2 linked regions of the Drosophila melanogaster genome follow. The protein of the gene in region 1 purifies or fractionates together with the protein of each later gene. This does not show direct contact. Each region holds a gene or a part of one and is shown in the gene's direction. Other genes may lie near its edges.

Evidence for each region.
Region 2: the proteins of armi (region 1) and fs(1)Yb purify together in Drosophila melanogaster (affinity purification with western blotting; 6 studies listed by BioGRID, with this or other methods). This does not show direct contact.

What each region holds. Positions count from the first base shown.
Region 1 is NT_037436.4:3,459,459-3,466,891, forward strand, and holds armi (armitage), read left to right. Parts: upstream 1-1,858; 5' UTR 1,859-2,004; intron 2,005-2,082; 5' UTR 2,083-2,116; coding exon of another isoform or gene 2,117-2,212; intron 2,213-2,645; exon of another isoform or gene 2,646-2,662; coding exon of another isoform or gene 2,663-2,845; 5' UTR 2,846-2,882; coding exon 2,883-3,326; intron 3,327-3,403; coding exon 3,404-3,832; intron 3,833-3,898; coding exon 3,899-4,501; intron 4,502-4,558; coding exon 4,559-5,521; intron 5,522-5,590; coding exon 5,591-6,394; intron 6,395-6,450; coding exon 6,451-6,774; 3' UTR 6,775-6,856; downstream 6,857-7,433. Other genes in the region: eIF5B (eukaryotic translation initiation factor 5B), read right to left, coding at 1-640, 714-784; CG46463 (uncharacterized protein), read left to right, coding at 2,117-2,212, 2,663-2,845; CycJ (cyclin J), read left to right, coding at 7,081-7,164, 7,228-7,414. UniProt on the Drosophila melanogaster protein: Probable RNA helicase required for axial polarization of the oocyte during early and mid oogenesis. Plays a central role in RNA interference (RNAi) process, a process that mediates mRNA destruction of translational repression.
Region 2 is NC_004354.4:2,718,581-2,724,658, forward strand, and holds fs(1)Yb (female sterile (1) Yb), read left to right. Parts: upstream 1-1,887; 5' UTR 1,888-1,987; coding exon 1,988-2,269; intron 2,270-2,328; coding exon 2,329-4,545; intron 4,546-4,607; coding exon 4,608-4,919; intron 4,920-4,987; coding exon 4,988-5,305; 3' UTR 5,306-5,578; downstream 5,579-6,078. Other genes in the region: CG2701 (uncharacterized protein), read right to left, coding at 1-170, 233-511, 585-1,187, 1,247-1,407, 1,479-1,595; fs(1)Ya (female sterile (1) young arrest), read left to right, coding at 5,764-5,805, 5,863-6,078.

The sequences.
Region 1 (7,433 bases):
TGCCTTTTGCTTGGCTAGGGCAGCCTCCCTCTTTTGGCGCTCCTTCTTTTCCTTCTTTTTCTGGGCTGCCGACTTCACAGTGCTGCCGCCCTCCTCGTCATCGCTGGCCTCATCCTCTCCGGCGTTTTCTGCCACTGCAGCCTGCTTGGCCTGCTTCTTGTTCTTTTTTTTCTTGGAGAACTCATCGGCCAATTCTTCGGGGGAAACAACAGTAGTGGCAGCAGGAGCAGCCTCGCCGGCGTATTCCGCTTGAAGCTCAGCTAAAACCTTGTCCAGATCTTCATCGTCGTCGTCCTTCCCCTTGCGTTTGGCCTTTTTGCCCTTCTTTTCGTTCTTCTGTGGCTTGGAGACCACTACCTTTTCCTCCTTCTCAGACTGGCTTTCCTGGGCAGCTGGCTCGTCCTGCTCGTCGTCGTCCATTAGCAGCTCAAAAGCCGACTTCTTAGAAGCTTTGCCCTTGGCGGGCACCACCTCCTCCTCATCGGAGTCGTCATTTTTGCCTGCTTTGCCTTTTCCCTTGACATTAAGCTTCTTGACCCCCTTGGTCACGGCTTTAACATCGTCATCGCCAGCTTGATTGCCCTTCAGGGCATGATTCTGCTTGTTGTTGAGGCTCAACTGGTCGCTGTCCACATCGGAGCTGTAAGATTGAATAATTTGCGATAGAAAGTTTGCCAAGTTGGCAGGTGGGCATGAACTTGCACAAGACTCACATTTCGTCCACCGAGGAACCGCCTTCGACCTTGGTCAGTATCTCTTTCTTGCCCTTTTTAGCTTTAACCATCTTCCCGTTTGCGACTGCAACACGCTCCTCCTCTGGCCGAAAACAAAAAGCCGTGGGTTATTCACCGCTGAAAGATACGCACACGCGACGCCTCGGCAGCCAAGAAAAAGAGGAGGACTGTCCACTGGGTTCTCCTGGTGCTGGTGATCTTCTGATGGTGACTCCGCTTCGGTGGCTCCAGCGACGACGTCCTGCTCCGGAATTGTGCAATCGACGGCTAGATCTGACACGGCGCTTTGCCAATTTTTGGTTTTATTTAGCCGAGGAAATTCTGCACACAAGCACGTTGTCGAGTAGTACGGTGCGGGAGGGTTGGACAGGCAGTGTGACCGTGCGAGTGGATTGCTGAAAATCACAATGGCTGAGCTAAGGTTATCGATTATACCCTGTAATATCCAGTTGAGCGGGGTATTTTTGTTTTGAGTCTATAGTTGTACATAAAGATATATTAAATATATATACACCTTTTTCAATAGAATCGCGGCCTCGGCGCTGGCGTGCGCTGTTTACGGGAACCATTTATCGCCTCTGGTGCTCAGTTTCTTACTCATCAGACATAGGGCAGTTGGTTTTATTGGTTTTCCTAATTGGTAAATTATTTCAACTGCGAAAAGTATTGAACATACTCTTAAATAATATCGATCACTAGGGTATTTATGGAGAAAGAAACCATCTATGGACTTTTTTACACATATACTCGAAAAACTTTCCGGATTGCGGAAAGATATTTGGCATATTTTGGAATTTGATTGCTTATTTCTTAAATGTAAGTGACAGATAACTAACAGGTACTCTTGAAAAAAAGATAAAAGAATAAGAACAAGTTCTTCGTGTGTATTATTTTTGTGAGGAGGTAAATTCCAAAAACAAAAACTTAAATGTGGACTGCCGATATTTTATATACTTTCTTGAGTTCTTTACTTTACATTTTTGTTTCATTTTATTTTTGAGAACTTTTTTTAAATAAGGAAAATATAAATACATAAGCAACTTCCTCACGTTTCATATTCCACCGCTTTAATTTGACACACTTTAAGAAAATACCACAGCCAAGGATATTTTCTACGCCGCTAAGTCCGGTCACACTTAAAAGTTCGCCAAGACGCTTTGTGCTCAAAATTTTGCTCGAGAGTTTTTTCGAATACTATGACTATTTCCCATTGAACTCTTAAAACTCAAAGTGCAGTGCATCTACTAATTCAACAGCGTTAAGAATATTTGTAAGTACGAGTACAAATAGCAAATCCGGCTGTGCATTTGCAAAAAGCCGGTAAGGAACTCACATATTTGGTCCACAGCTTGATAACCAAGGTAAATCCGCGTGATTGGACAATGTCCAGCGAAGCATCCGGAAGTATAACCATCAAAGAAGAAGCATCTACAAGCGGTACGGCCACCAATATTCCCGTTGAATCCAGTGAAACAGAGGTATGAGTTTGTTGTTGTTGCCATCCTTGTTTTGGCGTGGTAGAAGGAGACGAAAGCAGTGCAGGAGTAACTGTTGCTGTCGCTTTTCTTGAGACTTTCGTTTGCTTTTTCTCCATTCAAACTGTTGCTTTTTTGCAGTTATTTTAACAGCCTAGACTAAAAAACAAATCACTATTGAATTCAAGAACCCTAACACAAAGTTTTTAATTTTCCGTTACAAAACATACAGAAAATGTATACAAATGTTAATTTTTTTATTTTATATATGCTCTTATAAATACATTTAAATTTATAAATAAATATTCTCTAAATATTTCAAAAATTGTCCGTAGAAGTAAAACAACAAAATGTTGTTAAATGAAAATTGTAGGATATTTAAGCCTTCGGTGTCATAGAAGGTAACATTGTATGTTCTCAAATGTTTACAATACAGATGGTCCACATTTCCAGGCTAAGAAACCCGAGATCGGAGCTGACAAGGCGGAATCGCAGAGCGAAACCACCGAGGGCGGGAAGGCGGCGGAGACGACGGAGAACCACTTGAAGCGTCTGCAGAATCTGCGCAAGGAATTGAGCTATCTCAGCGAAACCGACTGGATGTACGAGAGTCTCGACAAGAAAGCAGCGCAGTAGGAACGGCAGAGCATTTATCGGCGAAACATTTTCAAAAATGTTCACATACGTTAGCAAGTTTTTCACGAACCCGGATCGTAACCGGGAGGATATTCTGGAAAGTTTGGATCGGGAGAATAGCTTTTTAGACCAAAAACTAATGGAGGAGAAGATGGATCAACAGCTTAAGGCGAATCCAAACGAAATTAATGGGGTTTTAAGTAACAAGATCGCTGAGCTTACGCATGGACTTTCGGAAATGGACGTGAGTAAAGAAAGTTCCTGCACCGCCAGAAAGGGAGTGATCACCAGTCTAGACGGCGATCGGGGAGTCATCGACAAAGACGTTTTATTCGAAACGAAGGTGGCAGAGGATATCATCTTGGATCTACACGTCGGATGTGTAGTGGAATATTTGACTTTTACAACGGGGGAAGCCATGCGGGTGGTCAAGGTGAAGAGTATCCTTGAGCATTCCTGGGAGGACACAAGCCAAAAGGAGGTAAGCTCATCGGTATTAGATTTATTAGCCATTTGTTAAAGCCAATGCTTAATATCTGTAATCCTAACTTCTATTAGATTGAAAAAGCTGTAGACAACCTGAAGAACGAAAAGCCGACATTCTTTAACACCGAAACAAGGAGCGTTTTGGGTCTGATTAGCCAGCGTCTGGCATCTTCCATAGACGTCGAAACGGAATACGGACAGCTGACCGTCGAGCTAGACAATATCGAGATGAACTTCATCCCAACGAATGGAGATCGAGTGCGCCTAGAGTGCAACATTCAGCTGGATGACGGTTTCGTGGACAAACAGGGAGAAATCCTAGAGGTGACAAAGTTGTTTCCCACCCGCATTCAGGAAGGTGAAAAGTGCATTGTGGAGCGCGTGTACGTGCACATGGTTGTGCTGGGTCCGGAAACCTACATTTTAAAGACAGACTTGCCTACAGGCACGGATCTTCATCTGGGCGACATTGTGCTCGCCGATCTCATCGAGTGCCAGTATGTAAGTTAAAGAAGGAACATAAAATCTTGCGATTTTCTTCTTTATACGTGTGTTTTAATTCCCCAGTCCAAATTTACGAGACGCGCCATTAAGATTACTCCGCTGGAGAAAAATTTTGGGGCTACCAAGCTGACTCAGCAGAGCAGTATGGGATCATCCGGCAGTGGAAAAGCAGTGACGGTGACTGGTGTAAATCGTTTCATCACCGCAGAGCTCTGGCAAAAGGAGAGCGTATCTTTAAAGCTGACCAACAATCTAAACCGCACTTTGCGCCTGGAGAGCATCACCGTCTGCAATGACAGTGAGTCTCAGTTGAGCGTGGTCAGCCCTCTCGAATCAAAGGAAATATCCAGCGGCTCCGAAATAACGGTGACCTTTGAGATCCATACGCAGTTCCTGGGGGAAGCAATCGAAAAGTACGTGCTGAATTTCGATCTACTCAAGGTGAGGCGCGTCTTCACGGTGATCGTGTGCAAAACCAAGGAGGAAGTCGCTGAAGCTGAGAAACGTATGATAGCAGCTGAAGCTTTGATGGCACCCGGTCGTAACAGCCAGGAGAGGTCCCGGTTCTATGCCAACCAAGTTTGGTGCAACAAGGTGGATGTAATCCCGGGACAACAAATTGTTACCAAGCGCAGATTTGTTGCTCTGCGTTTGGGTTGCTTTGAAGTAAGGAGTCCTCTCATTAAAAAATATGCTTATTTTTAATACTACCGTTCTTTTAAGGTGCCCAAAGAATTGCGCCAAATTTGTTTGACTAGTGAACGGCGACAAGAGATGATCAAGGCCATCGAGCAGCACTATTCATTCCTCACGGAACCCCTAAGCATTAAAACCTATATGCACCGTTTCAGATTGCTCCTACACCTCGAGGAGATCGAGTGCTTCGTCAACTTTCGCAACTACGACAGAGACCGAGCACACTTTCTGCGTGACGGAGAGTTCCTCACGCTGCAGATCGAGAATCTAGCCGAGCGTCGACCGTCGCTGGTCATTGGCGATACACTGCGAGTCATTAATCCCTGGTCGGATCCCGATTCCCAGACCACCAAGTCATACGAGGGCATTATCCATAAGGTGCTCTTCGATCGCATTTTACTCAAATTCCATTCCAGTTTCCAGGAGAAATATAATGGCGAGGACTATCGACTAGAGTTCTATTTCTCACGCTACAGTTTTCGCAAGCAACACCATGCCATCTCCAAAATTGTAGGAGTAATGGGCGAGGATTTCTTGTTTCCCAGCAAAGTAACCAAGCGCGAGAATCCCCAGCTGGATGTTTATATGAAGGATGACGACATGTACTTGTACGATTCGAAATTAGAGTGGTATAATCAGTCGCTTAATTCCATCCAAAAACGTGCTGTTTTCAATATACTGCGCGGTGAAGCGGAGAACATTCCTTATGTGCTGTTTGGGCCTCCGGGCAGTGGAAAAACAATGACACTTATTGAGACACTACTCCAGTTGGTTAGGAATCTGCCTGGTGCCCGAATCTTGGTGGGAACGCCGTCGAACAGCTCAGCGGATTTGGTGACAAAGAGGCTCATCGATAGCAAAGCTTTGCTCCAGGGAGATTTCATTCGCCTCGTTTCGTACAATCAAGTGGAGAAAGACTTGATTCCTCCGGAAATAATGAGCTACTGCGCCACAAGTGATGTCGGTGCTGTGGGCAGTTGCGAGGACAAAGTGAGTAGAAAAATTTTATCATTTGGATTGGACACCAATTAATCTTGGCTTTGTTGATATTTGCTATAGATGATGGTCACCGAATCGGGATTGAAGCTTCGCTGTCAAGCTAAGTTTATAGGTACTCATCGCATTACCATCTCCACCTGCACTACTTTGGGAAACTTTTTACAATTGGGGTTTCCAGCGGGCCATTTCACTCACGTGCTGTTCGATGAAGCTGGTCAATGCACCGAACCAGAAACAATGGTACCCATTGTAATGCTAACGAAGAAACGCTCTCAAGTTGTTCTCTCAGGTGATCCTCGCCAGCTGCAGTCTATTGTCACCAGTCGAATTGCCTCGAAAATGGGATTTTCCATATCCTTTCTGGAGAGATTGCTGGAACGGTCGCCGTATCGAAAAGATCTTCAGCGATTTCCCGAAAGCTCCGGCTACAATCCACTAGTGCTAACCAAATTGTTGTACAATTACCGAGCATTACCGTCGATTATGAGCATTTATAGCAGGCTATTCTACGATGACGAACTGATCCCAGTTCTTTCCGAAAAGGATTCAAGGGAATCTCGCCTACTAAGTAAACTGCGGTGTGTATTTGAGTCAGAAAAGGATATCCCTCAAGCGCACGGCACGTTCTTTTACGGAATCATTGGCGAAAACAGGCAAAATAACGATTCCCCTTCCTGGTTCAATCCCCAAGAGGTCAGGGAGGTGTTCCTAATGACCATCGCCCTGTACCGTGCCAATGTGACTGCCGATCAGATCGGTATAATCACGCCCTATCAGAAGCAGGTGAAGATGCTTCGGAGTATGTTCATTGGCACCGACGTGGTCATGCCGAAGATTGGATCCGTCGAGGAGTTTCAGGGACAGGTGGGGTCGGAACTAAAATCGATATTACGTGCACACTTAACGTTTGTTATTTCCAGGAACGAGACATTATACTAATATCCACGGTGCGTTCATCAGAAGAGATCCTGCGCATGGATGCCCGCTTCTCCTTGGGATTCGTGCGTTGCAGCAAGCGACTTAACGTGGCCGTTTCCCGAGCACGTGCCATGATGATCATCTTCGGGAATCCCCATCTTCTGGCCGTCGACGAATGCTGGCGCCAGCTAATCCTGTTCTGTGTCAAAAATAACGCCTATTTTGGCTGTGATCTGCCTCAAATGGTGATAAATCAGAAAGATGAGGTCCCCGTTTGCTTGGAAACATTCGTGCCTTCACTGAATACTACAGATGATTTGAACTAAGCACATATGACAGTTTATTATTAAATTAAAACACTTGTTATTGATGAATTAAAGTAACACAATTAATCATTAAACTTGTTTTAAATATTTGTACATATGTGCTAATTTTAGCGAATGGTAACACTCCCAAGCGCAGTCTGGGAACGCTGCTCGTTTGGCTTCGCAGTGTGGTAGCACTGGCCGGAACCGTTGTAGCGCCATGTTTGCGCTCCTTTTGTTTTCTCCTTCATTTGTTTTGCTTTTTTCCGCCGTTAAGTTCTTGCCTTAAAATCGGTGATTTAAGGCATTGCATTCAATTTCGATACAATGGAGCAGAAAGTGGCTGCCGAGCAGAACATCTTCGTCGTCGACCGCAAATTGAAGAAAACTTGCCCGCAAGCAGATGTCGAGGTGAACGGACATGTGCTTAACTTTTGCGAACCCGACTTTATTTCGTTAAATACCAATTTGTAGCGCCTGGCTAAGACGCACTGGCTCACCGACTATGCCCGGGATATATTTTTGACCATGAGGGAGCAAGAACTCAGCCGTCGGCCTTTGTTTTACCTTTCGCCGCAGCTGAACGAGCGCCGAAGAATGCTGCAGTTGCTCAAACTGGCGACCAGCGCCCACAAGCTTAGTCGCTGTGCTTTGCACCTGGGTGAGCACTGTACAGAGGA
Region 2 (6,078 bases), on another chromosome or scaffold:
ACGGCTGTGGAGAAGTGCGCGAGGAGTCGCCGTTCTTGAATTCCTCGTCCTGGACGTTCCCCGTAACTTGGACACCGTTACTGGCCATATCGTCGGCCATTATGCCGTTGGGGCAGCTGGCCAGTGCCTTCTGATAACCGGACACCACGAAGTCCACCTCGTAGTTCTTGCTAGCGATGCAGAGATTGCGAATAAGAATAACATTGGCCACTAAGCAAGGCAGACAACTCACATATTTGGGCAACGTTGGATCAGCAGCTTCATGTCGTGCTCCAGCGGAAACTGCCGCTGGTAGTCCACAACGAAGTTCTGGGCGGAAAGGCACTCCTGCATCACTTCCACCAGCTGCTGTCCCCGTCCCGACTCCATCTGCAGGCTGACCACGCGACGAACGATGAAGATATATTGCTGGCGCGTCTCATTTAGCCAGCGCAGCGAACTCGCACCCGGGTTCACCAAGTAGATGTTCTTGTACAACATGGGCACAGTCATGTCATAGAAATTGGCAATGCTGCGAATACGAAAGGGAAGGCAATAGAATCACACAGACCACGGATGCTGATGATGATGATGATGATAATAACCTTGGGGCCAAACGCAGCTGTTCGATGGTTTCCAATAGCTGGGGACAGAGGAGCAGCAGCAGGCGCAGCGTGTATGCGCAGTCCATGGCGAAGAGCACCACATCGTCGTAGGGCGTCTCCAAGTCGACGTCCAGAGACGCCCCGCCGCCAGCACCTTCGCAGCCCTCGTTCTCCACCTGGATCTGCATGCTGAGGAAAGCGCTCTCGTAGAAGATCAGCGCCTCCTTCAGATCCTTTTGGTACTCCGGCTGCACTTCCAGCACCTTGTCGAAGATCTGGCGCAACAGTTCCACGTTCTCCGGCTCCGCATCGCCAACAGCGATGAGCAGATCAAAGAGCAGTGGCACAGAGATCAGGTAGTTGCTGTACAGCAGGCTGCCGTGTTGCTTCGGGCTAATCCACTCCGAGTCCGATTCCTTACCGGTGCACAGTCGCATTATCAGACGCACGACGAGATCGAGCAGCTGTCCGTACAGCAGATGGGCCTGGTCCAACTCCTTGTCCCGGCTGACATCTGTCTGTCTGTAGTAGGGATTAGCGCGCTGCAGGAATGTGACAACGGCCGCCATGGCCGATTCATCGTACACCATGTAGGACCAGAATCTGGCGGGGATCAAGTGTTAATGTCTTCGGTATACTGAGCGCAACACGATGTAGCTTACTCGTGCTGCGTCAGGCTCAGCAGGAACTCCATGTCCCCACGGAAATTGTTCGCCGCGAAGGTCCATTCCTCCAGTGCAGCTCCGGATTTTAGGCGTCCATAGGAGCTCAACATGCACAAATAGCTGGCAAAGGGCTTCTCGCGCTGCACCCAGTGCTCGTCCTGTCCACAAAAAAAAAAAACACATATGCATAGTACTATCTCGCCGGAGGTGCACCAACATGTCCACTTACCAGCGCCGGAACGTTCCTGCGCACCCCATCCTTGCCGGAAAGTGCAAACTTGAGTTCGTCCAGTGGCAGATTCTGTGGGTTGCAGTTGTTGTTGTTGCTGGTGTCGTTGTCCAGCATGTCGGCCCCCCCTTTGGCTGGCAACACTCTCGAATTGTTGCTAGGGTATTTCTTCAATAACAAAATTCAATAAAACTAGCGAATTTCGTGCGATGCAAGGTGGCAGCACATTGATAAGGTGGCGCACGCAGGCTCAGCTTGTAATGTCATAAGGTGCGTGAACAAGAGTTGCCAGACGATCAGAGTGGTTCGATGATTATCGATATTGAGTAGTAATCGAACTTGAAGCTTAAGTGTCGAAAGAATTCAGTTGGTTTAAAATTTTCAAACCAAAAGGAGTTTCTCTCTGCTCAAGTGGAAGGCGATAAAAAAGCCATTAGTACGCGATTTGTTTATTTACTTGGCAAAGCGCTGCACGTGACCTTGCTAGCCGTACATATATTAGGCGCAGCATGGAGCCAATTGGAGATCTGCAAGTGCCCAGCTTCAAGGTGGTGTCCGGGGGAACCACCTTCACGTACGCCAGTCCGAAATCCGGAGCAGCCTCCCTCGACTTTCTCGCGCACACCCTGCGGAAAAGGGAGGCGAACACAGAAAAAACTATTCTGATATGTCAGCAGAATTTCGAGGCCGAGCGTCTGAAATTTGAGCTCGCCGAGCGGGATGTCAACACTATTCTCCTGCCCCCGCATGGGGCAATGGTCGGTCAAGTGCTGCTCCTCTGGTCCAAGGGGGTGAGTTTGAATCGGATCACTAACATTACATCAGCGGAGGTTATTTATCCTCTTTCCAGTACATCAACCAAGCTCTAATTCTCTGCGATGGCATGCTCGAGCATCTTGGAGTAGTCGAGGCGAACCTGGTGATCCACACAACGCTGCCGGAACTGAACAAGTTCGAGGAGCGTTTGAAGTGGCTGAGCATATCGGCGAGAAACGCCGAGATGTTGGTCATAACTCCGTGCGACGAAGAGAATGAAAAAGAAGGCAAGGGAGAGACCGAACCGGAGATCGTCCAGCAAAGAATGCCACTCAAAGTAGATGCCCTAAATTCCATGCAGCTTTATGAAATAAAGGAGAATACGCCGCCGACATCATCGGAGGATTACAAGGCGGAGGCGGATGTCCTGCTAAGTGCTGCAACTCCAGCGACAATCCCAAACGACAATAAGGAGCAAGAGATAAATTTAAGCGTGGAGGATGCTACAGTAAAGCTCCTGGCTTCTTTTGAGTTGGGCAGCACTGATTCGGCGGCAGTGGACGAATCCTCTCCAGCTGCTGCTAAGTTCAATGCTCCTGTCTACTCTCCTTTCGTTACTGAAAATCCAACGAAGTCTTTGGACGCCGAGTTTCAAGAGCTCGTAAAGTCGTTTAAGGTGCAAAACGTATTCAAAAACATGAACTTGCCGCCTCCTCCCTCTGTTAGCATTGAAGAACCGGTGTCCAGTGCCTCCGCTTCTGATTATCGACATCAGATCGACACCACTTCGCTGGATTCCATTCGAACTGTGAAGGATTCACCTGCCTCTCTAGCAGTGGTTCCCTTTTCTGCAGGGGGAATAACTTACAACAACTATGGCGTTCTCGGCTGGAGTCGCCACGCGGTCGTGCCGTGCTACGGTTTGACCGAAGCGCCGGACATAAGCACCATCATCAGGCGGGCCATGCAGCAGATGGGTGTGGCTAGGTCGCGAGCGCGGGCGGTCCAGAGATTCGCCTGGCCACATGTCTCGTTGGGTAAATCCGTTTTAGTTGTGGGCAACTTACAGATCGGGAAGACGTGGTCCTACCTGCCCACCGTGTGCCAGCGCAGCCACGAGGATCTGCAGCGACGGCCAGATGTTGGCCGTGGACCTACCTGCATCTTTGTGTGTCCCAACCAGGGGCAGGGCAAACAGATCGAACGCTGGATGAGCACGTTGCTCTGTTTGCTGGGCAGTGCGTCGGGGTTTGAGGATGTCGTTACCCACTGGGACAAGACCCAATTGGTGGACATCGTTCGCCGGCTCAAAAAGCCCGTTGGAATCCTGCTAACCAGCGTGGACTTGTTGCTCCAACTGCTGAACCATAACCCGGTCGGGAGCATTTTCGATGCCCAGGCGGTGAAGTGCATAGCCTTGGATAACCTGAACGACATGGTTCGTGTCCTGCCAAACGACACGATGAAGCTGCTGCAACGATTGCCCGAAATGTTCCAGCTCACCCAAAATAAGTGCCAACTGCTCGTCTCCGGCCGCATTTGGCACACCGATCTAATGGTGCAGCACATTCTGCCTCTGATGCCCGACGTCCTCGTTCTCTTCGACGACGCCTTGGAGGCGAGTGTCTATGGCGGCGTCCAGCTGGACGTGAGAGTCGTGGCGGATGAGCCGGAGAAGATCGAGCATTTGAAGGCGCTGATCGCTGAGCGCAGGAACTTTGCCAATGAGCCCGCCGTTATGGTCTGCTCCAACTCGACAGAGGTACTCCTACTCCGCCGTAGTCTGCAAGCGATTGGGGTGAATGCACATATCTGCGTATCGGAGGCGTGCTACTCCAATGTCGCCGAGTGGCTACGCCAGTCCCCGAGTGGCCTGCTGCTGGTCACGGATGATGTGGTGCCGAGACTGAAATGCGGAAAGATCCCGCTGCTCATCCACTACAGCTTTGCCAGCATGTGGGCGCGCTTCAAGAACCGCTTCAGCCTGTTCTACGCAAACCTCAAATCGCCAACGACGCGCCCAGTCGGCCAGTCCGTGGTCTTTGCCAAGCCCACTGATTTGGAGAACATCTGGAAGCTGTGCGACTTTTACATGAAGCACAAGCTGCCCAGGCCCGGCCATTTGCTGGGAATCCTTTCGCAGCGACGCCTGGAAGAGCAACCGACAAGCAGAAGTCTCTGCCACCAAATGGCCGCTTTCGGGGATTGCCTGAGGCACAAGTGCATGTATCGCCATGTGATGTGGCGGGACGAGGTGCTGCCGCCAGATCACTATCCCAAAAATGGATTGATTCGGTTCTTGGTTCTAGTTGTAAGTACTCTCGATATGATCGCTAACAAGGCTTCACCACTAAATCCTTTTCCATTTTCTAGTGCTACAGCCCAGCTGCGTTGGCTGTGCGCTTGAGCGACCAGTTTCCCACAGCGATCCGCTTCCTCAACTTTCCGATGAGCGATCTGGGCGAGCGAGTGCAGCGCCACTACGAACTGGAGGCGAACCGGCACATGCATCCCAATCCCGTGCCCGGCGAGATGGCGGTGGTCAAGAACATCAACCGCTACGAGCGGGTGCACATTGTCAGTGTGGAAAGCAATGTCATGGTGTTGGTGCAACTGTTGGACACGTCCACCGAATGTTTTTCCTACAAAACCAGCCAGCTGTACAGCTGCGATAAGATCTTCAAGGTATGGCCATACATGATGATAGATGATAGTAGTATGGATTCACTGCAAACTGTTGTTCTCTGTCACAGGATTCACCCAGAGAAGCGATGGATTTGAGGATCCTTGGCCTGCAGCCCGAGAGCCTCGATCGCATCTGGCCCGATGACGCCCGCAATTTGGTGCGCAAGGATTTCTTTCGTCGCACGCATAACAAGCGGAATCGCCAATTCCACGCCGTCGTCCAGTCCGCCATCCATCGCACGATCTTCGTTCGCAACATATACGACGACGAGGGCAACGACCTGCTCAGCTTCGTCATCAATCGCTTTCGCTCGCATCAGGATGAGTGCTGCCAGCTCAAGCTCGATGCGATGGTGATGAGCTCCAAGGACTGTCCATATATGTAGCTTCTAGTTTCATCACTGTCCACTGACCACTGGCCAGCATTCTCTTGCGAAAGAAACCAGCTTCTTCGGAAAACCAATTCAATTTCCTATTACATTTAAACGCATTTATATAAATATTTTTCAAAATATTGTTTTACAAATATTAATGATAATCGAACGTGAGCTTTAATCGTTCGACATCATCGGATTCAAAATATTTGAGCAAGCTAAGATCTTGCCATGTGCTATTCTTAAACTTGAACTTGAAAGTGAAATAAAGGGCATGCGCTCAAGAGTTTTTTTTTTAAGTGTACTGAGTGCTTTCGTTTGTTACATGTTCATAGCTAACAATCGATATACCTAGTCTAGATCTCCTAGATCTAGTTGAGAGATTAGCTGCCATATCTAGCCAAAGAACCGTTTCATTTCCGTGCAAAGGTGTATGTCCATGTGTGTTAAGTTCGCAACTTGCGCATTTAATGTCGTTTTCCAATGTCCTAATCATGCGACAGCCCGACGAGGTAGGCTCCAAACGCATCCAAACGTTCCATCCGTAGTGACTCCACCTTGATTTCCAGGGCAAGTGCCACATTTGCAAGCGTGTCTTCTGTTGCGGCAAATGCCGCCAGAAGCATCAGTTCAAAGCGCACGCCATTGCTGTGCGCGAGCCATTGGGATTGAGGTCTGCCGGCGGCGGTATCATCGAGCATCGCCATCAAATGGAGTCCGGCGCGACCACCATCTATGTGTTCTGTCCGATCTGCGAGCGGCGTCCCCTGCTGCTGCGCGAGGAG